3 linked regions of the Arabidopsis thaliana genome follow. The protein of the gene in region 1 interacts with the protein of each later gene in a pairwise test. Each region holds a gene or a part of one and is shown in the gene's direction. Other genes may lie near its edges.

Region 1 (7,132 bases):
TTCTAAATCTCTTTTTTTTTTTTTTTCTGTGTGTTGTCTATGATAGCCAGACAAGAGCCAAGAAGAGCACAAAGTGAGTTTTTTCGTGGGAAGAGAAGACGCTGTTGAAATAATGAAGGTTCTTCCAGGGATATTAGAGGAGCGTGGGGTGAGATTTTTGTGTGTACTCTTTATGTGAGCTTGATGGCTACATTCTTATCATAGATTGTTACTTTTGGTGCTGATGACAGTAAAATTCATTATAGGTGGATGTGAAGCTGGTTTATAGTAATGGATATGCTTTTGATGTATTACCAAGAGGAGCTGGCAAACAAGGTGCTTTGACATATCTACTTGACAAGTTGGATATTGAAGGCAAGCAGCCTTCTAACACACTTGTTTGTGGTGACTCTGGAAATGATGCTGAGCTTTTCAACATTTCTGACGTATATGGCGTAATGGTTAGTTCCCAACTACTTTTTTTTAGGTTCGATCATACTTGACTACGCGTGAGTGATTGTGCTTATATTTTTACTGTTTAAGGTTAGCAATTCGCATGAAGAATTATTGCAATGGTATGAAGAAAATGCAAAGGACAACCCAAAAATATTTCATGCGTCTGAGAGGTGTGGAGCTGGTATGATAGAAGCTATTCAGAGGTTTAATTTGGGACCAAATGTCTCTCCTAGAGATGTTATGGACACTGAAAATTTCCATGGGGAAAGTTTGAATCCTGCTCATGAGGTTGTTCAGTTTTATTTGTTTTATGAGAGATGGCGTTGTGGAGAGGTGGAAAAGTCTGACAAGTACTTGCAGAATTTGAAATCGCTCTCTGTAAGTGTGTTTATTTGACAAAAAAAAGCTCTCTAGCATCTAACGTAATGGAAATTCAAGTGCTCAAATTGATAATTTTGAAGATGTTCTTGATTGCTTGTGTTGTGTAGACTTATTAGTTGACGTAATTGTTATGCTTTTGCAATGTTTCAGAGTCCACTTGGTATTTTTGTTCATCCGTCTGGAGTGGAGAAACCGATACATGAATGGATAGATGAGATGGAAAATTTATACGGTGATGGGAAGGAAAAGAAGTTTCGCATTTGGTTGGATAATGTTACGTCTTCTCATATCAGTTCAGATACATGGCTTGCAAAATTTGTAAAGCATGAGTTATCTGGTAAGAAATCTTGTTCTTCAATTACATGGCTTATACTTGTGACTTATCGAGCTAGGAAATGATTTAGCAGAAAATACGATCAACTGATTTGTTTGATTTCTCATCATAAGGGTATACTGTAGAAGTTTGCTTCCATGTTCTAATGTCTAGCTCGTGTTTACAGAGGGAAAAGTACGGTCTTGTTCAACAAAAGTCTTACTGAGTTATAAGGTAAACCTTGATTTATGATCCTTTTAAGATTTCAAACGATTAGATTGGTTAAATAATATTGGAAAAAAATAACTGAAAATGGGTTAAAATTGAAAGGAGGAAAAGCAAAGGCTGACGTGGATGCACATCCACCAATCATGGTTAGATGAATCTTCTTCAGATGATCAAGAAAAATGGATTTTCTAAAGGATTATCTTAATCTCGACTGACATACTAAAGATGACATCTGTTTGGGACAGAAGCTAACCAAAGAGCATAGTGTTTGTTTTGTGTTATGTTTGTTTGGGGATGGTGTGAGTTTGATAAAGCATGAAGGATACTAAAAGCTGAAGAAGGTGTTGCCATGTCTTGGTTTCGTTTCATTAATACTTTTTTACATATTTGGGTTAACTTAAAACTATTAATAAGGAAGGTTGGGTCCTGAATTTGGTCTGTTCATGACCTTTTGAGGGCAGGGAGAGTTTTGGGTCTCTACAACAAAACCTACATTTCTTTAGTCTTACAAAACCTACCATTGTGTTTGATTTGCAATTCTTTTTTCTGGTTTATATGGATTGTTTTCTACTATTTCTGTTTGTTTTTGTTGAGAAACTATTTCGATTTTTTAAACCATATACAAAACGCTCCACCAAACTCACAAATCCCGCCTTGGATACTGTAATCTGTTTTTATAAAAAAATGATATGATGGAGAGAAGAGGAGACGCAAGTCACGGGACATGATTTCAAGCATAAGTCTAATTACTAATTACCACCACTTTCCGTAATTAACGCCCTTTTTCACTTTATCCACTTTTTGTTGCCCATCTTCTTTATATTATTTCTTTCTCCAAGCCCACACTGCTCAGTTTCCTGGTCAAATGGCTACCTCAGAGACTCGAGTCTTGTTCTTATCTTTGTGTCTCATCCTTGGCAAAGTAGTTTTGTCTCAGTTTGATGAGTTATGGCTAGTAGGGGACGATGATCCACTCAACGCCTTGCAGACGAGGCGTGAAAGAAGAGAGGAGAGGTGTGATTACTCGGTGGGGAAATGGACGTTCGATGAAACGTATCCGCTCTATGATTCAAGCTGTCCATATCTGAGTTCTGCACTAAGTTGCCAAAGAAATGGAAGACCCGACTCTTATTACCAGAAATGGAGATGGATCCCTAAGGCTTGTTCACTACCAAGGCACACTCCACACTCCTCTTACTTCTTACATTACTTCTTTTTAAAATTTCTGTCTCATCAAGTAAAAAAGTTGGTTTATATTGGCTTTGCATGGTTAATTGCAAGATGAATAAATTGACTAATGAAAAATGGGAAAGAGACATTAATATTAACCAAAATAGTGGCTCTTTCCATGATGGTGTTTAGGTTTGACGCATTGAAATTTCTTGGGAAAATGAGAGGAAAAAGAATAATGCTGGTTGGAGATTCAATGATGAGAAACCAGTGGGAATCTCTTGTCTGCTTAGTACAGTCTGTTCTTCCCACTCATCGTAAGAAGCTCACTTACAATGGTCCTACGATGTCTTTCCATTCTCTGGTAATTAATAATCACAAATCTCCTTTTGAATCACATATACATCATTGGTTAGTAGATGCAACTATTAAATTTGGTTACTATACAGGATTTTGAGACATCAATTGAGTTTTGTTGGGCTCCTCTGCTTGTGGAACTCAAGAGAGGAGTTGACCGTAAAAGGGTGTTACATTTGGACTCAATCGAAGACAATGCTAGATATTGGCGTGGTGTAGATGTTCTTGTATTCGATTCCGCTCACTGGTGGACTCACTCTCAGAGATGGAGTTCGTAAGTCATCTGAATAAACACTTACATCTTTCCTTCAAAAGCAAATGATTAGTGTATAACGGTTCATAGACGTCTATGTTCATTGTATTTGTTATTGTGTCTCATTTTACATCAGATTTGGGATTTGTGACAGTAACGCAAGCTATTGATGTTTTAGGTGGGATTATTACATGGATGGGAATAAGATCTTCAAAGCTATGGACCCAATGGTTGCTTATGAGAGAGGACTAACCACATGGGCTAAATGGGTTGAGATAAATCTTGATCCATCCAAAACAAAAGTCATTTTCCGCACTGTCTCACCGAGGTTTTTTCTTATATTCTCCTCTTAATCTCAACATATATACAAAATGGACACCATTAATTCATGTACATAAATTCTTGGCAGAGAGAGTGGTCAGATGTGCTACAACCAGAAACATCCCTTGCCTTCTTTATCTTCTTCCACCAAACCCCACGTGCCTCAACAGTCAAGAGTGTTGAACAAAGTGCTAAGGACAATGAAATACCGAGTGTATTTATACGATATCACAACAATGTCTGCGTATAGAAGAGACGGTCATCCTTCGGTGTTCAAGAGAGCAATGCACGAGGAAGAGAAGCACCATCGTATCGCTGGACCTTCATCAGATTGCAGTCATTGGTGCTTGCCCGGTGTCCCGGATATTTGGAATGAGATGCTTTCTTCAATTATCTTAACCAATGCTGTATGAGCTATAATAAGAGTCTGTTTTTACTCATGAACAATGGTGTTACTTATATGAATCAGTGGTTTATATATTACATATCCTTTCCCAGCTAACAAATATCCCAATATCAAAGACAAGACAACTCAAAGGCCTTTAAGCATAAAGTTCATGCATCACAATGATTTTCGTGTTTTGGTTATTTCTTACCTAACTCAATTTTTTTCCTAAAACGTTTTAGGTTAAGTTTTGGTGTTTTCATCAAAATGGCAATAACCATTTGATTAGAGTTTTACAGTTAGTGAAGTTCTCAATTTTTGAATAAAATAATATTTTTAAAATTGTAAAGGCAATGAGTCATCATTATTCTGTCGTATTCTCCGTCGCTTTCATTTTCAACTACTTTGAAGCTGCAGATCTCTTTTGGAGATTCACATGGCGACGGAGAAATGGGTGTTCATGGTGACGGCGCAAACTCCGACGAACATTGCGGTGATTAAGTATTGGGGAAAGAGAGATGAGGTTCGGATTCTCCCCGTTAACGATAGCATTAGCGTAACTCTTGATCCTGATCATCTCTGCACAGTCACCACTGTTGCCGTTAGTCCTGCTTTTGATCGGGATCGAATGTGGCTCAATGGCAAGGTACACTCGCTTCATTTCCCATCACGATCTCTCTCCTTTTGCTGAGATTCCAATTATCGAATTACAAAGATTTTTGTTGTTGTTGTTGTTTCATGTTAGTGTAGGAAATATCTCTTTCTGGAAGTAGGTACCAAAATTGTTTGAGGGAAATACGAGGTCGTGCTGGTGATGTTGAAGACATGGAAAAGGGGATCAAGATAAGGAAGAAAGATTGGGAGAAATTGAATCTACATATTGCTTCTCATAATAACTTCCCTACTGCTGCTGGCTTAGCATCTTCAGCTGCTGGATTTGCTTGTCTAGGTATTCTGCTTTTTCTCTCTGTTGATGATTATGAGCTTGAGAATGGCTTGTAGTTTATGTCAAACTGTTTTTTTTGCCTACAGTTTTTTCTCTTGCAAAGTTGATGAATGTAGATGAAGATCCAAGCCATCTTTCTGCAATAGCCAGGTACCTATGTAGTGGACTTCCTTGCACTATATATCAATGCTTTGATTTATGTATAGTCATCTACTAATGCATGAGTTGTGATAGTGAAGTGAAATCTGACACTCCTCTAGGAATTAAATGGTACTGATATTCATGGTTTGATTTCTGTTTGCTCATGTAGGCAAGGTTCAGGAAGTGCTTGCCGGAGTTTATTTGGTGGATTTGTCAAGTGGACAATGGGAAGCAAAGAAGATGGAAGTGACAGCGTTGCAGTTCAACTGGCAGATGAGAAGCATTGGGATGATCTTGTTATCATCATTGCTGTGGTATGGCTCTTTTAAAAAATATTGTGACTTTTTGGCAGGATTACTCCGACTCTCCCATCTTCCAGATCATGCTGTTTTTCAAATTAACCATATGTTACTTTTACTGTCGTCATACTATTTGATTGAACGAGATATATAAATAAGTATTTCCACGACAAGATTTTGAGTTGCTCTATTTCAACGTGTGAATATAGCATTATGGACAAGTTCGAATGGTCAGAAATCTGTTAAAATTTAGTGCCTTCATTCAAACTTTTTATAACAGGTGAGTTCACGGCAGAAGGAAACGAGCAGTACCTCCGGAATGCGTGAAAGTGTTGAGACAAGTTTGCTTTTACAGCATAGAGCAAAAGTACGTTCTGTTCTTGATGTTTAATGAACTTCTGTATTACCTATTAAACTTCATCCTTTGTTTTTTCTCTATCTATAGGAAGTTGTGCCAAAACGGATTTTGCAAATGGAGGAAGCTATAAAAAATCGAGACTTTGCATCGTTTACACAATTGACATGTACAGATAGTAATCAGTTTCATGCTGTTTGTCTGGATACATCTCCACCCATATTCTACATGAATGACACTTCACACAGGTATTCTCTATTTTGACATATTTCTATATGCTGCTTCAGTTTATTTGTTATCAAACCCTTATTTATTCTAATATATCAAACTGTTATCTGCTTTTCCAGAATAATTAGCTTAGTTGAAAAGTGGAACCGTTCTGAAGGGACACCACAGGTAAAGTTCTAGTGTCTTGACTCAACCTTTTGAAAACAACTAATAACTCAAAATGTAAATCTGTACAGGTTGCTTACACATTTGATGCTGGTCCAAATGCTGTACTGATTGCACGCAACAGAAAGGTCGCAGTCCAATTGCTCCAGGGGCTTCTGTACTATTTTCCCCCTAAGTCAGACACTGATATGAAGAGGTGAGACACAGAACAATGTGTGATCCGTTTAACTGCGGTTTTCTATGAGTTTTAAAATTGACTAAAAAGCTGTTTGTAATGATTTTGGTTTCTTTATTTACCAGTTACGTAGTGGGCGATAATTCAATTCTAAAAGAAGCAGGATTAGATGGAGCAAGTGGTGTAGAGAATCTGCAACCTCCACCTGAAATTAAAGACAACATTGGATCTCAGGATCAAAAAGGAGAAGTCAGTTATTTTATCTGCACTAGACCTGGAAAAGGTCCCATCGTGCTTCACGACCAAACTCAAGCCCTTCTCGATCCTGAAACAGGCCTTCCTAAGTGAGCATTCTCTCTGCTTCAAACTAATTATTATGATTAGCATCTCCTTTAACTGCAAGTTTAAGATACGATATATGTGGCAGAATAGGTGCAGGTACGTTGTCATCTAACTATTAGCTTTCCTATTTCCAAATAAAAGAAATTCATTGGTTTTGTTTTACCAGAGAAAAATCTTTTTACTGCGCTGCAGTAAATACTTTAAAAGACGCAAAAAAATAAAATGAAATGAAATTTATTCATGAGGAACAGAGCAATACTATTTTTTTGGGGTGGAGACAAACTGTACAACTTTTTTTTTGATTATCTAAACATATGTAAAATTGAATTTAAGATGATTGAGGAATAGGCAAGAGTTCTTTTAAGATAGTTTCTGCCATCCCATCAGCCATCGGAAAAATATGACCAGCACCTGGAATCTCATGATACTTGATCCAAGTTAGTTTCTGAGCAATGATCCTTTGTAGTTGTATCGGGACGAGCCGATCATCATCCCCTTGCCACATATGTACCGAACCTTCACCCTTAGGGAACGGATTCTCGATCTTCATAGGGTCAAAACTCCATTTCCCAAATCCAACAATCAGGTCTCGGTCAAGTGATTCGTGTGTCCCTTGTTGTGTTGTTTGGTTCTTGTAA
Region 2 (8,376 bases), on another chromosome or scaffold:
AGGTCATCCAGTTTTATGATTCTGATAAGCGGTTTCCTGCCTGGGGGTTTGGAGGAAGAACATCGGATGGTTCTGTGTCCCATGCTTTTAACTTGAATGGAGCATCATATGGCGACGAGGTAACTTACGAGACAGAAACTGTTATCTCCCTTTATTATTGGAGCTGATATTGTGTGCATACTGGTGTCCATTATTTGAAAACCATGAAACATTGCATTCTCAAAACTGCATGTTAAGTTTCACATTGCTTCATATTCTCTTTTCGTTTTCAGGTTGTTGGAGTTGAAGGAATCATGGTAGCTTATGCGAGTGCTCTTCGCAATGTTTCTCTAGCAGGACCAACTCTATTTAGCAATGTGGTCGACAAGGCTGCTCATACTGCTTCACAGTCACTCTCACAAAACAGTCCCAAGTACTTTGTTCTGCTCATCATTACGGTAAGAGACTGAACATTCAGATACGTAATGACTTTGGCCCAGTTCAGATCGAATGTGCATCTGTTACTAGTAAATCTATAGCTTCAATGACAAAAAAAATGGATGTGTGAACAGGATGGAGTCCTTACAGACATGGCGGGTACAGTAGATGCATTAGTGAGAGCTTCTGATCTCCCGTTGTCAGTTCTTATCGTCGGTGTGGGAAACACAGACTTCAAACAAATGGAGGTACAAGTTTTGTTTTGTCAAGTTAGGTTTTATATCTGTCTCTTTGCAAATAGTAAACATGCAGTGACTTGACCTTGTAAATATTTCAGATGCTTGATGCTGATAATGGTCGGCGGTTAGAGAGTTCTACTGGTCGAATAGCTACACGGGACATCGTTCAATTTGTCCCTATGAAAGACATCCATAGTGAGTTTTAAATTCCTTATGTACAACGGATAGTGTAAAGTGTTTAGATGCGTTTTGGATTGGTAGTAAATGTTTAATTTGGTGGGGTTGCAGGTGGACTAGTGTCGGTGGTGCAGGCACTTCTAGAAGAACTTCCCGGCCAGTTTCTGACCTATGTCCGTTCGAGAAAGATTAATCCGATCGGAGCTCCAGCAATTTGAGTTCAGCAGCATAGTCTAGTCTCTGTTTTTTCTTGCATAGAATTATTTTGGTGTCACCTTATTACCATAGTTATCATCATGTTCTCAATTTACTTAGGTTGGATTTAAACCGTAAGGTTTGTTAGAAAGAAAGAAACAAAAAACAGAACAGAATTTGCGAAATGTATATATATTTTAGCTTGTTTGCATCACAATAACATGATATAAACCACTGACGGTCTGACGCATCAAAGTAGATACGTTGGTAATATATGAAAATGTTAAATTATTTGCCGTCTTTCAGATAGACGCTGTTGAGCTTTGCATTATTAACGAAGGAAAACAAAAAAAAACATGGGATTCTCAATTGACACATGATTTCAAAATTAGGCAATTAATATTTTTGGAAAAATTAGATTGGAGATGCGGGGGATCGAACCCCGTGCCTCTCGCATGCAAAGCGAGCGCTCTACCATTTGAGCTACATCCCCATTTTGTTAAGTGTTCTGCGCTTATCTTTATTATAACAATTTTCAAGAACTCGATTCTTGGTAAGCAAAAAAAACTGCAGATGAAGGTAATTTAGCGAGCTAATTCAGGTGCGAACCAACAGATGAGGGTAACTTAGTGAAGTTAATTCAGGATTACCATGACTGAGGCAGTTAGGCCCAAAACCTAATGAGTTTTACTCCCTGGGTGAATTAAAAAATGAGTCTGGTTAAATTGAAACATGATCAAAGCAATGTTTAGTATTAGGCTCCATGAGTTGCATGTATCTGCAATAAAGAATCAAGTATGCATAGTTTGTGTTTCAAAATGTTTCTGGGTTGATATATCGATTAATTCAGTTCCATTGATACATGATTCGTTCCGAAATATCATATCATTCACTAATTAAACATACTTAGGCAAAAGCCAAATATACTTAGCTTTAAAACCTAATTTGATCCCCAAAAAACACCATCAGGGTCTATTTTACAAGTTCCGAATCCAAACAAGAGAACTGAACTAAGAAGTCTAAGAACCTCAGAACTCCTGAGAAGCAGATCCAATATCTCCTTTGTTCTTGCCAACCTTGGATGGCAAAAGAGTCTGATGAATATTTGGCAAAACTCCTCCATTCGCAATCGTCACACTTCCCAGAAGTTTGCTTAACTCTTCATCGTTCCTCACTGCAAGCTGAATGTGTCTTGGTACTATACGTGTCTTCTTGTTATCCCTTGCTGCGTTTCCCGCCAGCTCCAACACCTATCAACCCAAACCAAATCAAAATCAAATCAGTACAAGATCCAATTCAGATGTGACCAAATCGAAATTGAAAACCAAATTGGAAGACAAGAAAAATAAATTACCTCGGCGGCGAGGTACTCGAGAACAGCGGAGAGATAGACCGGAGCTCCGGCACCGACACGCTCGGCGTATTTACCGGATTTGAGGAATCTAGCGATTCTTCCGACGGGGAATTGAAGACCGGCTTTAGATGATCGAGAGACGGATTTGGTGGCCTTTGGCTTTCCTCTGCCACCTTTGGTTGTTCCGCTTCCTGCGCCTGTACTCATCGTCTTCTTCGAAATTTAGAACAGATAAACGATTTGATGAGAGTTTGAAGAAATCGAAGAGAAATGACTATTGTAGATGATCTGGGAATTGAGAAGATGAGTGGGCTTTAGGGTTTTGCTCTTCTCTATATGTATAGGCTACTAAGATTGATTGTGATTTGTTAGACTTTAGATCACACGGATTGCCAACGTGGCAGATCATCTACCCTTTCAATTATTATGTGATCTATGGTTCGTACATCTCCTTTTACTTTTTGAAAATAATGTACAAACGAAAAGTGATTTTAGTGAAATAGTCCTCCATTATTAAGCTTTCTATAATTTTAGACCCTGAATCTTGATCTGTTACAAGTTCATATTTTTAATTTACATCAATACATTTATTGTGGATTGATCATCCCAATGTATTGATGGTTATTTAAAAGATGGCCAGGGTTGATCGATTCGGTTTCATATGATTTTAGTTCTATGATGTAACCTTTATTGATCAAGCAACAAGAATAAATCAATAATTTATACGATAGCCGACATAAAGAGATTTCTATTATCTTACTATATATAGTCAACAAATATCTATAACAGTTGTTCACATGGGACACGACCAATGAGTCACTGCCAAATACAAGCTTCAAGAGTGAAGACTATTAAAGAACAGAGAAATACAGGGAAAAGCAATTAGGAGAAGGAACAAAAGAAGATGGAATCTGGAAGTATGAAAACACCTCTGGTGAATAATCAAGAAGAAGCAAGAAGCTCTTCTTCCATCACTTGTGGTCTTCTTCTTAGTACCTCCGTCGCTGTCACTGGCTCTTTCGTTTATGGCTGCGCTGTGAGATTTCATCATCACTCTTTCCTTTTCTTTCATTTGGTTTTCTAGTGTTCCTCATGGATCTCAACTAACATGCCTCAGATTGGAATTTTTATTTTTTTAATCAAAATCTGTTTTGAATTTGGTAATTGTTCAATAGCTGTTTTGTCTCAAAATTGTTATTTGAATATTATGTGATTTTGAGTTGATGTCAACTTGTGGCCTAATTTTGTGCACTATCATAATTTGAAGATGTCATATTCATCGCCTGCTCAGTCCAAAATCATGGAAGAACTGGGACTTTCCGTTGCAGATGTAAGTCATCCATGTGTGTGACCAAATCAATAACTAATTTTATTTTTTACATCGATAATCAATTATTACTCCTAATTTACTAAAATAATGGTCTATTTATATTTTGGCCAGTATTCGTTTTTCACATCGGTAATGACATTGGGAGGAATGATTACGGCCGCGTTTAGTGGAAAAATTGCTGCAGTTATTGGTCGTCGACAGGTAATTAAATTTTGTTTCGTATTCAAATGTTATTATGCCACTGTTTTTTTTTTTTTGTTTTTGATATTGTAGGACCTTCTAAGATGACGTAATATACACGTTATGATTTGTTCATCTCTTTGATCGCAGACAATGTGGATCGCGGATGTTTTCTGCATCTTTGGTTGGCTCGCTGTAGCCTTTGCACATGTTTGTTTCTCCAAATCTCCATCTTTTAAATTTATTTTTCACAAGTTTAGTATTTTTTAATAAAGTTAACATTTCATTTGCTGTGGTTTATTTTCAAGGATAAAATGCTGTTAAATATTGGTCGAGGCTTCTTGGGGTTTGGGGTTGGTCTCATTAGTTATGTGGTAATTAACTTTATCATCTGTTTTGAAAACAAATTATTTGTTACTTTTATAAAGTGTTGATATAGTAATTTCGTTTTACACCATTTGATTTGATCAAAACAAATAGGTTCCTGTATATATAGCAGAAATTACGCCCAAAGCATTTCGTGGAGGATTCTCTTTTTCCAATCAAGTAAGAATGAAACAAATTATATCAAACAGCTTATAATTTCAGAATATTTAATTTATTATTGTTATCTTGCGTTTGAACTTGCAGCTTCTACAAAGTTTTGGGATATCGCTCATGTTCTTCACCGGAAACTTTTTTCATTGGAGAACATTAGCTCTTTTAAGTAACTATATTTTTTCTCTAAATGAACTATATCTCAAATCATAAAAAATTATAATGTGTGTACTTAATTCACATTATTTAACTTATTCTTGATTTTCAATCTATGACTAGGTGCAATCCCATGTGGTATCCAAATGATATGTTTATTTTTTATTCCTGAATCACCTAGATGGCTGGTAATTCACACACTTAAAGTTTGTTTTTTATTTGTTTAATTGGTAATATTATATTTAAAAGGTACAGTCTACATATTAATGTTCATCTTAGGCTATGTATGGTAGAGAACGAGAGCTTGAGGTTACTTTGAAGAGGCTAAGAGGAGAAAATGGTGATATTCTCGAAGAAGCAGCTGAAATCAGAGTATTATTGTTTGTTCCGAAAATACTACTACTACTTTGGCTAACATATACGTATTTTGGTTAACTATTAATTCGGTTTAAAATGTGAAACAGGAAACAGTGGAAACCTCTAGAAGAGAATCTCGAAGTGGACTAAAAGATTTGTTCAATATGAAAAACGCACATCCGTTAATCGTAAGTCTCATCAAATACCTATCATTTATACAAATAATTTAGAAGAGATCGAGTTCTTATCTAGTTTTGTGACCTATTGATGATCAACTTAATAAACAGATAGACATGTATTTATGCGTATGTAGATCTAACATTCTGCCTATACGTATGAATGAAATACTCCCAAGTCCTAACGGAAAAAAATGTTTTAACTTGTTTAGTGAAATAAATAAAGATTAATTTGTTTTTGTTTGTTTATTAATTCGTTGAAAACGATTAGATTGGATTGGGCCTAATGCTCTTGCAACAATTTTGTGGGAGTTCGGCGATAAGTGCTTATGCTGCTCGTATTTTCGACACAGCCGGTAAACCATGATTTAAAAAAAAAAAAAAAAAAAAAAATCATTGGCATGTCATATCTTGTTTGATTTTGTATCGCATTTCATCTCACGATTTTTGAATATATTGTCTTGGGTATTTAGGTTTTCCAAGCGACATAGGAACATCCATCCTTGCAGTTATTTTGGTAAATCAAAACATTGTCTTTTTAGTATTTAACATTTTATAATCGAAAATATAGTATTTCACATTTTCACTACAACTTATTCTTGTTTTTAGGTACCGCAATCTATTATTGTCATGTTTGCCGTCGACCGATGTGGACGCCGACCACTTTTGATGGTAATCATTTCATTACCTTCGTTATATATAATTTGCGTAATTGATTTCCCTAGATAAATATTTTATTTGTGGTTTGAAACTTTTTTTGCAGAGCTCTTCTATCGGTCTGTGCATATGTTCATTTTTAATTGGCCTCTCTTACTATCTTCAGGTTTAGTCATCTTAACTATTTTATTCTTTGTAACTTCGTTTGATTTTTGGTTATTATAGACTAAATATTATTTATCCCCCACAAGCAGAACCATGGTGATTTTCAAGAGTTTTGTTCCCCTATCTTAATCGTCGGTTTAGTGGTACGTGAATGCCAATCTTGTTTCAGTCAATTACTATTTTTGGTTTAATTCATATATTACTTTGTTGAAACCACAACACTAATCAACCAAGTCATACTATATACCAGGGTTATGTCTTATCCTTTGGCATTGGTCTAGGTGGACTACCATGGGTTATTATGTCTGAGGTATTTGTTTTTTTTTTTATTTTAAACTAGAAATATTTCATAATGTAATCATTATCTTTTTTTTTTTTTGGACAACAATTTATTCATTATCTATGGCAGGTGTTTCCGGTGAATGTGAAAATTACCGCCGGTAGTCTTGTAACAGTGTCAAACTGGTTTTTCAGTTGGATTATCATTTTCAGTTTTAATTTCATGATGCAATGGAGTGCTTTCGGTAAATTTCTATCCATTAATTTGACATTTTTGTTTCTTCAGAATATTACACATCTAACACAAAAATGCTTTATTTCGACAGTATTTAATAATTATTACAATAAAATGAAAATAAATAAATAAACAAACAACCAGCTCTTAAAATTGTTTAAAGAGTATAGGGTTATGTATAATCAAATCATGGTAAATATATCTTTTAAATTATTAAAAATACTAAAACGGGAAGATTAGAGAATTTTATGTTAGGAATGTCCCCTCGAATTAATATTTTCATTATATAATAACTTAGATATGAAATTAAAGAGAATGATTATATAGTTATTTTGTTTTATTGGAATTTGCAGGAACATATTTCATATTTGCTGGAGTTTCTCTGATGTCATTCGTATTTGTATGGACTTTGGTGCCTGAGACGAAAGGCCGAACACTTGAAGATATTCAACAATCACTAGGCCAACTTTCATAAATCCAAAGTTGATTCTTTACTCCACAATGCCAGACATTGTTCTTTTATGTTACATTTATAAGTCATGTATTATCCGATTTGGAGGGGGGGGATATGGATTTCCGAATTTTTTTACTTTGATAAATTTTGTCAATATATTTTGTTGACAGAAAAAAGAATAATCAATATACTGTATGTGGTATTATTCTAACAATATTTTTTAAACGTATAATATGATTATGTACCAATATTTATAACCATATCATATGATTATGTACTTTTGTAAAAAAAATTCACACCCCACTTAAAACTTGGTTACTACTAATTGGATCTTGCAACTCAATTTTCTAAATCGCATTACAAAATACTGAATGAGCAAATTAATAAAAGATTAGTCAAATGTGACAACGACCAATGAGGCATGGCCAAATAAAAGCTTGAAGAGACTATTCAAAGTTAAGGATAAGAATCAAAGAAAGAAGATGGAATCTGAAAGACTCGAATCACATCTTCTGAATAAGCAAGAAGAAGAAGCTTCTTCCTTCACTTCTGGTCTTCTTCTCAGCACATCCGTCGTTGTCGCTGGATCCTTCTGTTATGGCTGCGCCGTGAGATCTCTTCCTTTCTCTCTCAATTTGCTATCCACTGATTTTGGATATTACAGTTTTAGAATCCTAATTTCTTCGTGCATAATTTTCATAACTATAACATACTTTGTAGATGTCATATTCGTCGCCTGCTCAGTCCAAAATCATGGAAGAACTGGGACTTTCCGTTGCAGATGTAAGCCCACCTGTGTTCAATGTTCATCATATAGATCAAAATCATTTTTTTCTTTTAAGACTCTCAAACCGGTTCAATAAACCAGACCAGTAACCCGGTTTGAATGGTCTACTTCTATGTTGGCCAGTATTCGTTTTTCACTTCGGTAATGACATTAGGAGGAATGATTACCGCCGTGTTCAGCGGTAAAATCTCTGCTCTCGTTGGTCGTCGACAGGTAATTAGTTATTACTGTTGGACCGGTTCCGGTTTATCTTTTGAATTTTTTTGGATCTTCTATGATGACGTCATTCTTTATGCGTTTTGATTTATTCGTCTGTTGATATCTCAGACAATGTGGATCTCAGATGTTTGCTGTATTTTTGGTTGGCTCGCTGTAGCGTTTGCACATGTTTGTTTCTCCAAATCTCCCTGTTTAAAACTTTCTATATATTTATCTACTCAAATTTTGTGTTAAAAAGTTAACATGTTATTTACTGTGATTATGTGTAGGATATTATAATGCTTAATACTGGACGACTCTTCTTGGGGTTTGGGGTTGGTCTCATTAGTTATGTGGTAATTAACTTTCTCTCCCCTTTTCATTTAGACAAAATTTCTAGTCCTTTATTAGAGTGTTAATGTCGTATTACTCCATTTTATTTATAAAATAAATAGGTTCCTGTGTATATAGCAGAAATTACAC
Region 3 (9,745 bases), on another chromosome or scaffold:
TCGACGATCAGATCCCAAGACGTGTGGACTCAAGCGGTTTCTTGGTGAAGACGCTTTGTTTAGACTCCGTTAATTCCTTAACCCATGAGGTTGTTTCCTCAATGGTTTTGGAATTTTCTTTACTTGACAGCCTCAAGATTTGTCGTTGTAAGAGATTGACTTCTCTCACTATTGATTCACCAACTAAGCTTCTTCACTTGTCCATCTCGGGATGCCCGAAGCTGAGATACCTCGAGATCATATCATTTAAGCTTAAAACTTTTCATTACCAAGGATCTCTACCTTTGATCAAGATTCATGAACATTTCAACTTGACCAAGGCGGTTTTCGATGTAACACAAGGCCCAAGCTATTACAACAACGCGTTAGACATCGGTCCTCTCTCGCTGACCATCAAGAATTCTCAATCTCTTACACTATGCAGATGGATGTTCGAGGTAACAAAGTTAGTCTCTAAATTCTTTTGTTCTAAGATAATTCGAAAGTTATATGTTACTATCTTTGTTAATAGGAAGTAATCAAACCGTCCATATCATCATCTTGGAGATCATTCCAATTCTACAAGTTACAAGAATTGCGGTGGATCGATAACTCGATGAACCAAGAACAAATTAATTCTTTGATCTCTTTTCTCAAACTTTGTCCATCAATAGAGCGCCTCTTCATTACTGTAAGTGTTACACACCTAAAACCTTGTTACTTTGTTAGTTCTTGCGTCGTGCTAATACCTTTATTTATTTTGTAAGATCGATTCAAATACTTATAGTTCAAACGAAGAAGTTAGTGTTAATGCTGACCATGCAAGAGTAGTACTAAGGGATCTAGAAGTGGTCAAATTGGAAGGATTCAAGAGTGAAGAAGATAAGAATCAACTGATATTTGCTCTACAAGAGATAGTCAGTATCGATCAGCCTCTGCTTGTACTGTCTTCAATTTCTTGACTTCGGCTTGGAATGGAAACGACAAAAGAGTTATGTCTAAAGATACACGTATGAACATGCTTTAATTAACCTGCTGTCATTTTAACGCGTGGATATATTCCATTTCTTGCTATACAAGAAATCCTCGTGTAAACGGAACTTAAATTTGGCTACGTCAAGTTTACAGATTAAAGATTTTTCACCAGTATGTATTATTGTAATGTACTTACTATGATAAATTACTTAAAACAACATCAAGTTGATTTTCGCAAGTATGTGTATATATATAAGGGATCCAAATTCTCGTACACACTTGCAAGTTGCAACTTAAACCTATAATGCCCAAATATTTGGCTTAGGTGAAGTATCGTTTTTAAACCATGTACGTGTCTTCTTCTCTTTTTTTGACCTGTTCAACAAAAGCATGCATGTGTGGAAACTTCAGCTGTCAACGAAAGAAAAGCGTGCATCAATTCATCAAAAGGTCATTTTAAATCGATTAATTAACGCTAAACCAACTAAACCATTTTGATTACATCATCAAGTTTGCTCGTTGGACTTGGTTAAAATACAATTGCCTCGGAAAATATTGCTAAGGAATTACTTTCTTAAACTTAGTACAACTTAATTAGTTCGAAATGCTCTGAGTTCTTTTTTTAAAGTAAATCAATTACGTTTAGAAACAAAATGTTATATATCATCCAACGGATGATGTGAAGACACATAACGTGGACAAAACAATCACTCTAATTAACAATAATTTTGTGGCCAAAAATATACTGGACATTTTTACACCAACCCCAAATGGCTCAGACAGGCCTTGTGGTACAAAACTTTCAAATGGACACCCTAACAAAGACTTATTCAAGTTCCACGTGTAATAAAACATGCTGAAAAATGATATATAGCACAAGAATACTCATTACTCACACTATTGCATGGTACAACATATAGTACAAATTTAGTTTAGAAATATCGATCTATGGACTTCTATATTATTATACAAACAATTTTACTAGACTAAAATGACAAGATCTCAGTCGTTTTTTTAAACAGACTATCTAAGAAGTGACCACATTTTATAGTGACATTCATAAGTCCACCAAGAACTAGTACAACCTCACTCAAAATCGAATCTCTTCTATAGCAATGAAGTCAATTGGGCTACTGTCCCGTTGTGGCCCAATTTAAAGAAAAATAGAAGCTATCTCATTGAATCTGTCAACAGTAAAACTGTTTTGAAAACGTATAATCCCAACTATAAAGGTCAAGTTCCAAACAAATTATATCATATGAGCAGTTTTGCTAAAGAGAGAAAAAAAGTGTAAGAATGAGCAAAAAGGGAACAGATCAAATGCACTGGCAGAAAAAGAAGCTCCATGCTGCCTCAATCATACCTGCCCCCACTAGGTATATAAGCTAATCTCACATGTGGTAACACTCTTCTCTTCTATCACCCGCACCTTTCTTCTTTCTTTGACAGTGAAAATAGAAAGAAACAAAGACAGCTGTTGTTGCATTCTCCACGGCACACTAACCAACCTCGCACATTTCTCAAGTTTCTTACAATCTTATAACTAATGGTGATTAATCTTTAACTTTGACTAATTACTACATAAAAGTATTTCATCAAACGAAACTCTCGTGATCATCATTGTCATGGGTTGGTTAGAGCACGAATCATACAAGGTTTCAATAATACAGCAAAATTGGTTACCAAAAGATTCCGAAACAGTTCAATATTTGTCGACAACTACCTTCTGTATATAAAGTAATGACGCAAAGACGTTAATAAATGTTGCAGTGCAATAATCTGGTCCGGTCTAGTGGTGTCTAGACCCAACTTATATCATTTAGTCAAGTCTCATAATATAATCGTTGCATAAATAGACATAAACGAAGAATATCTGAAACAAAAAAACAAAACTTAAAACTCGTCGCCGTAGTTGACCGTTACTTTTTGATTTTTAATTATTATGAAATATCACATTCAATAATTAAAACTATGTGTTAAGAAAATTTAATTTTATGTAAGATGACACAGAAATACACAAAGACTTGTCTGTCTTTCACTTTTTTAGACTCTTTGACCCATTTTCTTCATAATTCACGAAAACCCAAAAATTAAAAACAAAACAAAACAAAATAAAATCAAAACTAACAAAAAGGAAAAAAAAAAAAAAAAAAGTATCTCACCGGAAACGATTTCTTCGCCGATTCCAAGACTTTTCTTCCTAAGCTTTTTAACAGATCCGGTGAAAATTTCAAAATCCGAAGAATTCTCTAAAGCTAGGGTTTCTTAATTCACGAGACGGAGGTGATATAATTCCCCCCCGTCGTAGCTATGATGATTTCGAGAGGTTTGTTTGGTTGGTCTCCGCCGCATATACAACCGTTAACTCCTGTTTCTGAAGTTTCCGAGCCTCCTGAGTCTCCATCTCCTTACCTTGATCCTGGTGCTGAGCACGGTGGTACAGGAACAGCGGCGCAAGCGGATGATGAGGAGGAAATGGAGGAGCCGGAGGAGATGGAGCCTCCTCCTGCTGCTGTTCCTTTCTCTCAGCTATTTGCTTGTGCTGATCGCTTTGATTGGGTTCTTATGGTTTTTGGATCCGTTGCTGCTGCTGCTCATGGTACTGCGCTTATTGTTTACTTGCACTACTTCGCCAAAATTGTTCAGGTTCTTGCATTTCCCACTGATTCGGATCATCTGATAAGTGATGATCAGTTCAATCGTCTCCTCGAGGTAGGTCAGCTTGAATACGCTTCTGTGGCTTTTCAAAATTTCTAATTTCCTAGCTGAGTGAGCTTCAGGGGATATGGAATTTGGATAATTTATTAGGTGTTGGAGCTATTGATTCAGTTTAGTATATAATTTAGTGATGAAATTTTGGAACTTTGTTTCTCCTTCCGAGCTGGATTGTAATTTTAGCGGGTTGCCACATTAAGGTTAAGTCTGTTATCTCGACAAACTTTGTGGCACTCTTTGGTCATAAATGTATTAGTTCAAGAAGTTAACATGAGAGTGTGAAATCCTTTGATTGTTTTGCTCTATATCTTTGTTGGTTTGTTAGTAGGTTTTCTGTTTCATGATTCCTATGTGCTTTTGTTTGGAGGACTAGTTAAGTATACCAGTTTTCATGTAGTTTTTGCTTCTAAGATGGCATATTAACCTGGAAGCTAGCTGTTCTTGACTTAGCTGGGAAGCCTACTTTGAATCATCAAACGTGTTCTTTTACTCAAATGCATGCTCAGAGGAAGACAACCTATCTTCTAAGTCTATGCTTTCGTATTTCTCACCTCTAGGGATTTCTATGTATGGTCTTCTGAATGTCCATTTTTTTATTCGAGGTCTTATCTGTTTGCAAACCTGTTTATCTGGAATCTTGAAACAGTGGCAACAATCCTGAAATAATGTGCTCGTCTAAATTATTGAGTCCCTTTGTGCAGCTTTCGCTGACCATTGTATATATCGCTGGAGGTGTTTTCATATCTGGTTGGATTGGTAAGTTCACCTTTGCTAAAATCCTTACATATATTATAATCTAGTTGTGTCCTTCTTTCCTCTAATGCAATGATGCTATTATCCGTCACCATAATTAGTTGTCCTTTTTTATAGAGGTGTCTTGCTGGATACTGACTGGAGAGAGGCAGACTGCTGTGATCAGGTCAAAGTACGTCCAAGTGCTACTAAATCAGGATATGAGTTTCTTTGATACATATGGGAATAACGGGGATATAGTAAGCCAAGTACTGAGTGATGTTCTACTTATTCAGTCGGCTCTAAGTGAAAAAGTATGTTTCACTTTTGAATTTGGTTTCAAGTTTCCTATTGAATATCTTTATTTTTGCAAAGAATGATACATCTTCATGGATTTCCTTAATCTTTTTGATCTTGGACTTTACAGGTTGGGAATTACATTCATAACATGGCGACATTTATCAGTGGTCTTATTATTGGTTTTGTCAACTGCTGGGAAATTGCCCTCATTACGTTAGCCACCGGTCCTTTCATTGTTGCTGCTGGAGGCATATCAAATATATTTCTCCACAGACTTGCTGAGAATATTCAAGATGCATATGCTGAAGCAGCCAGCATTGCTGAACAGGTATTAGAAATTCGCGCAATTTGATTGACGAATTCTGTTGCAAGCATTAAATGACATGTTTCCGACAATGACAATGATGTTTAAGCAGTAGAGTTATAACAGAGAGACTTCTTTGACTTGTGAACATCAAAGTTAATTTTTGCTGTGCAAAATTTGATATCTTTTACAGTACTCTTATTTGAATCAAAACTTGTTTAAGTTCAGAAAATTTTAGGCAGAATCTATGAGGGTTAGATTGTAATAGGCAGGTCGGACTGTTTAGGTTACTTATCTTGGTTTAATGCGACTGCAATCGTGAATTAAAATTCATCTCAACATATTGCCCAAGTCATGGCTTCGGTTTTGTTATAATAGGATTCATGTATAATTAATCTTAGCATCCATAACTTGGATATTGCATCGACTTGGATGCATGGCAATTACATGCCCACGTCAGTCTTATGAGTTCAAGTTCTTCTGAAACGCATCCCCTACTGGTCCATTTTTTGAGTTCTTCATTCTGGTTTGTTTATAGTGTCAGATCGCATCTGAATATATTTTCTAACGCTCAAAAGGTTTTATTCTATATGTGCAGGCAGTCTCTTATGTTAGGACTTTGTATGCCTTTACAAATGAAACTCTTGCAAAATACTCTTATGCAACTTCTCTCCAAGCAACTCTGAGATATGGTATATTGATTAGTCTTGTGCAAGGACTTGGACTTGGATTTACTTATGGGCTTGCTATATGTTCATGTGCTATGCAACTTTGGATTGGTCGGTTCTTTGTTATTCATCATAGAGCAAATGGTGGAGAGATCATAACAGCCCTTTTTGCTGTTATTTTAAGTGGGCTGTAAGCTTCCGATTCTACTTTACTCTCTTATCTTCTTCTTTTTTGTTTTTTTTCTCCAGTGTCTGTTTGCTAATTGAATTCATATTGTGCTGTGCAGGGGTTTAAATCAAGCGGCTACAAACTTTTATTCATTTGATCAAGGAAGAATTGCGGCGTATAGGCTTTTTGAGATGATAAGTCGTTCATCCTCTGGGACTAATCAAGAGGGAATTATTTTGTCTGCTGTCCAAGGAAATATTGAGTTTCGGAATGTATATTTCAGCTATTTGTCACGACCTGAAATTCCAATCTTGAGTGGATTTTACCTTACTGTGCCGGCTAAAAAAGCTGTTGCACTTGTTGGTAGAAATGGTTCTGGAAAAAGCAGTATCATTCCTCTAATGGAACGGTTTTATGATCCTACACTAGGTACTATGATGTGTAATTTAAGATGTATCAGTTTTTCTGAATAATCCCCTTTGGATACTCACCTGCGAAGGATACTATTAGTAACTGATTAGATCTGTGGTTTTCTCTTATACAGGAGAAGTTCTACTTGATGGAGAAAATATTAAAAATCTAAAATTAGAGTGGCTGAGAAGCCAAATAGGCCTGGTGACACAGGAGCCTGCTTTGCTTAGTCTGAGCATAAGAGAGAATATTGCATACGGCCGAGATGCTACTCTGGATCAGATAGAGGAAGCAGCTAAAAAAGCACATGCACACACATTTATCAGCTCACTTGAAAAAGGATATGAAACTCAGGTAACTATCCACTGAAAAGTTTGTAGTTATGAATTGTGTTTTTGTTGCTATTCTCATTTTTAGAAGTTGAAAATGACTTGTTTGTCCTCTAGGTTGGAAAGACTGGTTTAACGTTGACAGAGGAGCAGAAAATAAAGCTATCGATTGCTAGAGCCGTACTCTTAGATCCAACAATTCTTTTGCTTGACGAGGTCACTGGAGGACTAGACTTTGAAGCTGAAAGAGTTGTCCAAGAAGCCCTTGATCTTCTAATGTTAGGAAGGTCTACCATAATAATAGCCCGACGACTAAGTCTGATAAGAAATGCTGACTATATTGCTGTAATGGAGGAGGGCCAGCTACTTGAAATGGGTACGCATGATGAACTAATCAACCTTGGTAATTTGTATGCTGAGCTTCTGAAGTGTGAAGAAGCAACAAAGCTACCCAGACGGTATGATTTTCCAGCCAAGACCATATACATATCTAACAACTTGTAAAGTCTGTTGTGTAGTAAAGTCCATGTGGTTGAGAATTTTGTTTGGCTGCTTTTGATTTAATGATCTATGGAAGGGTGGACTTTGATGATTCTACTTGTTTATGGAACTCGTGTTGCCTTGCAGGATGCCAGTTAGGAACTACAACGATTCTGCTGCGTTTCAGGCTGAGAGGGATTCTTCAGCTGGTCGTGGCTTCCAAGAACCATCATCGCCCAAAATGGCTAAGTCTCCATCTCTTCAGAGAGGTCATAATGTTTTCCGCTCCCAGGAATTGTGCTTTAATAGTGAAGAATCGCCCAATGATCATAGCCCTGCACCAGAGAAACTGGGAGAAAATGGCTCGTCGTTGGATGTTGGTGAGAAGGAACCCACCATCAAAAGACAAGATAGTTTCGAGATGCGGTTACCAGAATTACCAAAAATTGACATTCAGTGTCCACAACGTCAGAAATCAAATGGTTCAGATCCGGAGTCCCCTATATCACCCCTTTTGATATCAGATCCCCAAAATGAGCGCTCTCATTCACAGACTTTTAGCCGCCCTCTTGGTCACTCAGATGACACTTCAGCAAGTGTTAAGGTGGCCAAGGACGGTCAACACAAGGAGCCACCTTCATTTTGGAGGTTGGCACAGCTTAGTTTTCCAGAGTGGCTATACGCTGTATTAGGGAGTATTGGTGCTGCAATCTTTGGTTCTTTCAATCCTCTTCTAGCTTATGTTATTGCATTAGTAGTGACGACATACTATACGAGCAAGGGAAGCCACCTGCGTGAAGAGGTTGACAAGTGGTGTTTGATCATTGCCTGCATGGGAATAGTGACAGTTGTTGCCAATTTCTTACAGCACTTCTACTTTGGTATTATGGGGGAGAAAATGACTGAGAGAGTGCGGCGAATGATGTTCTCAGGTACTGCCATATTTTTCTTCATTGTTAACTCACTGTTAACTCACTTCACTACATGTTTACTACTTTCACTTAACTTATTGACTTTATCTGATGTGATAGCAATGCTGCGTAATGAAGTTGGATGGTATGACGAAGAAGAGAACAGTCCAGATACATTATCCATGCGCCTAGCAAATGATGCCACTTTTGTCCGAGCTGCCTTCAGCAACAGGCTTTCCATATTTATTCAGGATAGTTTTGCTGTTATCGTTGCCATTCTTATTGGGCTGCTGCTCGGTTGGCGTTTGGCCCTTGTTGCATTAGCGACTTTGCCAGTACTTACTCTTTCTGCCATTGCCCAGGTTTGTTTTGTTCCTTCAATCTTCCCCAACAAAGCCTCAAGAAGACCGCTTGAAATTATTTTCTTATGTTTTTTTTTTTGTTCCCGATTCCGGTTTAGTAGTCACATGCTTCCCTCAGTCAAAATGTGCGTCTAATTTATGCAAAAGGTTTCCAGTTCAAGTAGCGATTTAAGATGTGAATTTGACTTTATACCTCATTTTGGTCATCCTATCCTCATGCACTTAGCTTGGAAGTATTCGCCTGTTCTGCAATTCTAACAACATTATAAAATTTCCAGAAACTTTGGCTTGCTGGATTCTCAAAGGGCATCCAGGAGATGCATCGAAAGGCGTCCTTAGTACTCGAGGATGCTGTCAGAAACATATATACTGTTGTCGCGTTCTGTGCCGGCAACAAGGTGATGGAACTCTACAGACTGCAACTCCAACGGATACTCAGGCAGAGCTTTTTCCATGGGATGGCTATTGGCTTTGCGTTTGGCTTCTCACAGTTTCTTCTCTTCGCCTGTAATGCGCTCCTCCTGTGGTACACCGCGTTATCAGTAGACCGCAGATATATGAAATTGTCTACAGCTCTAACCGAGTACATGGTCTTCTCCTTTGCTACATTTGCTCTTGTGGAGCCATTCGGATTAGCACCTTACATTCTCAAGCGCCGTAGATCTCTCGCTTCAGTTTTTGAAATAATAGATCGAGTTCCTACAATCGAACCTGATGATACCTCGGCTCTTAGTCCGCCTAACGTGTATGGAAGCATTGAACTGAAAAACATCGACTTCTGCTACCCAACCCGCCCGGAAGTGTTAGTACTAAGCAACTTCAGTCTCAAAGTCAATGGCGGACAAACAGTAGCTGTGGTTGGTGTTTCTGGTTCTGGAAAGAGCACAATAATATCGTTGATCGAGAGATACTACGACCCAGTTGCTGGTCAGGTCTTATTAGATGGGCGAGACTTGAAGTCATATAATTTGAGATGGTTAAGAAGCCATATGGGTCTGATTCAACAGGAACCCATAATCTTTTCCACAACGATCAGAGAAAACATTATATACGCAAGGCACAATGCAAGTGAAGCTGAGATGAAGGAAGCAGCAAGGATTGCAAATGCCCACCATTTCATCAGCAGCTTACCTCACGGATACGACACACATATCGGGATGAGAGGTGTTGAGCTTACCCAAGGACAAAAACAGAGAATCGCTATAGCTCGGGTAGTGCTGAAGAATGCTCCAATACTGTTGATTGACGAAGCGAGTTCATCTATCGAATCCGAGTCGAGCCGTGTTGTGCAGGAAGCTCTTGATACATTGATAATGGGGAACAAAACAACAATTCTGATAGCGCATAGAGTAGCGATGATGAGACATGTGGATAACATTGTGGTTCTCAATGGAGGCAAAATAGTAGAGG

What was found. Proteins that work in one complex are often made in the same cells at the same time.
Region 2: the proteins of TBL36 (region 1) and AT1G08890 interact in a protein complementation assay, tested with the Arabidopsis thaliana proteins (one large-scale study listed by BioGRID).
Region 3: the proteins of TBL36 (region 1) and ABCB6 interact in a protein complementation assay, tested with the Arabidopsis thaliana proteins (one large-scale study listed by BioGRID).

The regions. Positions count from the first base shown.
Region 1 is NC_003074.8:20,081,836-20,088,967, reverse strand, and holds TBL36 (TRICHOME BIREFRINGENCE-LIKE 36), read left to right. Parts: upstream 1-2,000; 5' UTR 2,001-2,222; coding exon 2,223-2,533; intron 2,534-2,719; coding exon 2,720-2,891; intron 2,892-2,976; coding exon 2,977-3,158; intron 3,159-3,315; coding exon 3,316-3,465; intron 3,466-3,546; coding exon 3,547-3,871; 3' UTR 3,872-3,997; downstream 3,998-7,132. Other genes in the region: AT3G54270 (sucrose-6F-phosphate phosphohydrolase family protein), read left to right, coding at 47-148, 246-440, 523-813, 967-1,153, 1,317-1,363, 1,460-1,549; AT3G54250 (GHMP kinase family protein), read left to right, coding at 4,280-4,489, 4,594-4,792, 4,876-4,939, 5,100-5,244, 5,510-5,596, 5,675-5,832, 5,932-5,980, 6,049-6,173 and 1 more; AT3G54240 (alpha/beta-Hydrolases superfamily protein), read right to left, coding at 6,823-7,132. UniProt on the Arabidopsis thaliana protein: May act as a bridging protein that binds pectin and other cell wall polysaccharides. Probably involved in maintaining esterification of pectins. May be involved in the specific O-acetylation of cell wall polymers.
Region 2 is NC_003070.9:2,845,088-2,853,463, forward strand, and holds AT1G08890 (Major facilitator superfamily protein), read left to right. Parts: upstream 1-3,061; 5' UTR 3,062-3,286; coding exon 3,287-3,418; intron 3,419-3,649; coding exon 3,650-3,712; intron 3,713-3,823; coding exon 3,824-3,913; intron 3,914-4,042; coding exon 4,043-4,102; intron 4,103-4,200; coding exon 4,201-4,266; intron 4,267-4,372; coding exon 4,373-4,438; intron 4,439-4,522; coding exon 4,523-4,598; intron 4,599-4,708; coding exon 4,709-4,773; intron 4,774-4,864; coding exon 4,865-4,957; intron 4,958-5,049; coding exon 5,050-5,130; intron 5,131-5,389; coding exon 5,390-5,474; intron 5,475-5,591; coding exon 5,592-5,635; intron 5,636-5,727; coding exon 5,728-5,790; intron 5,791-5,881; coding exon 5,882-5,941; intron 5,942-6,029; coding exon 6,030-6,083; intron 6,084-6,190; coding exon 6,191-6,250; intron 6,251-6,349; coding exon 6,350-6,464; intron 6,465-6,807; coding exon 6,808-6,929; 3' UTR 6,930-7,183; downstream 7,184-8,376. Other genes in the region: BON3 (Calcium-dependent phospholipid-binding Copine family protein), read left to right, coding at 1-119, 273-437, 552-665, 755-851, 945-1,051; H2AXA (Histone superfamily protein), read right to left, coding at 2,057-2,278, 2,383-2,589; AT1G08900 (Major facilitator superfamily protein), read left to right, coding at 7,391-7,516, 7,629-7,691, 7,819-7,908, 8,023-8,082, 8,184-8,249, 8,349-8,376. UniProt on the Arabidopsis thaliana protein: Sugar transporter.
Region 3 is NC_003071.7:16,478,347-16,488,091, reverse strand, and holds the start of ABCB6 (P-glycoprotein 6), read left to right. Parts: upstream 1-3,052; 5' UTR 3,053-3,264; coding exon 3,265-3,666; intron 3,667-3,992; exon of another isoform or gene 3,993-4,236; intron 4,237-4,370; coding exon 4,371-4,425; intron 4,426-4,539; coding exon 4,540-4,715; intron 4,716-4,828; coding exon 4,829-5,029; intron 5,030-5,603; coding exon 5,604-5,863; intron 5,864-5,960; coding exon 5,961-6,271; intron 6,272-6,386; coding exon 6,387-6,607; intron 6,608-6,699; coding exon 6,700-7,040; intron 7,041-7,209; coding exon 7,210-7,994; intron 7,995-8,093; coding exon 8,094-8,335; intron 8,336-8,613; coding exon 8,614-9,745. Other genes in the region: AT2G39490 (F-box family protein), read left to right, coding at 1-437, 512-670, 747-941. UniProt on the Arabidopsis thaliana protein: Probable auxin efflux transporter that contributes, together with ABCB20 and in a FKBP42/TWD1-dependent manner, to the regulation of leaf position and morphology, internode distribution, roots development, and inflorescence organization, probably by modulating auxin repartition.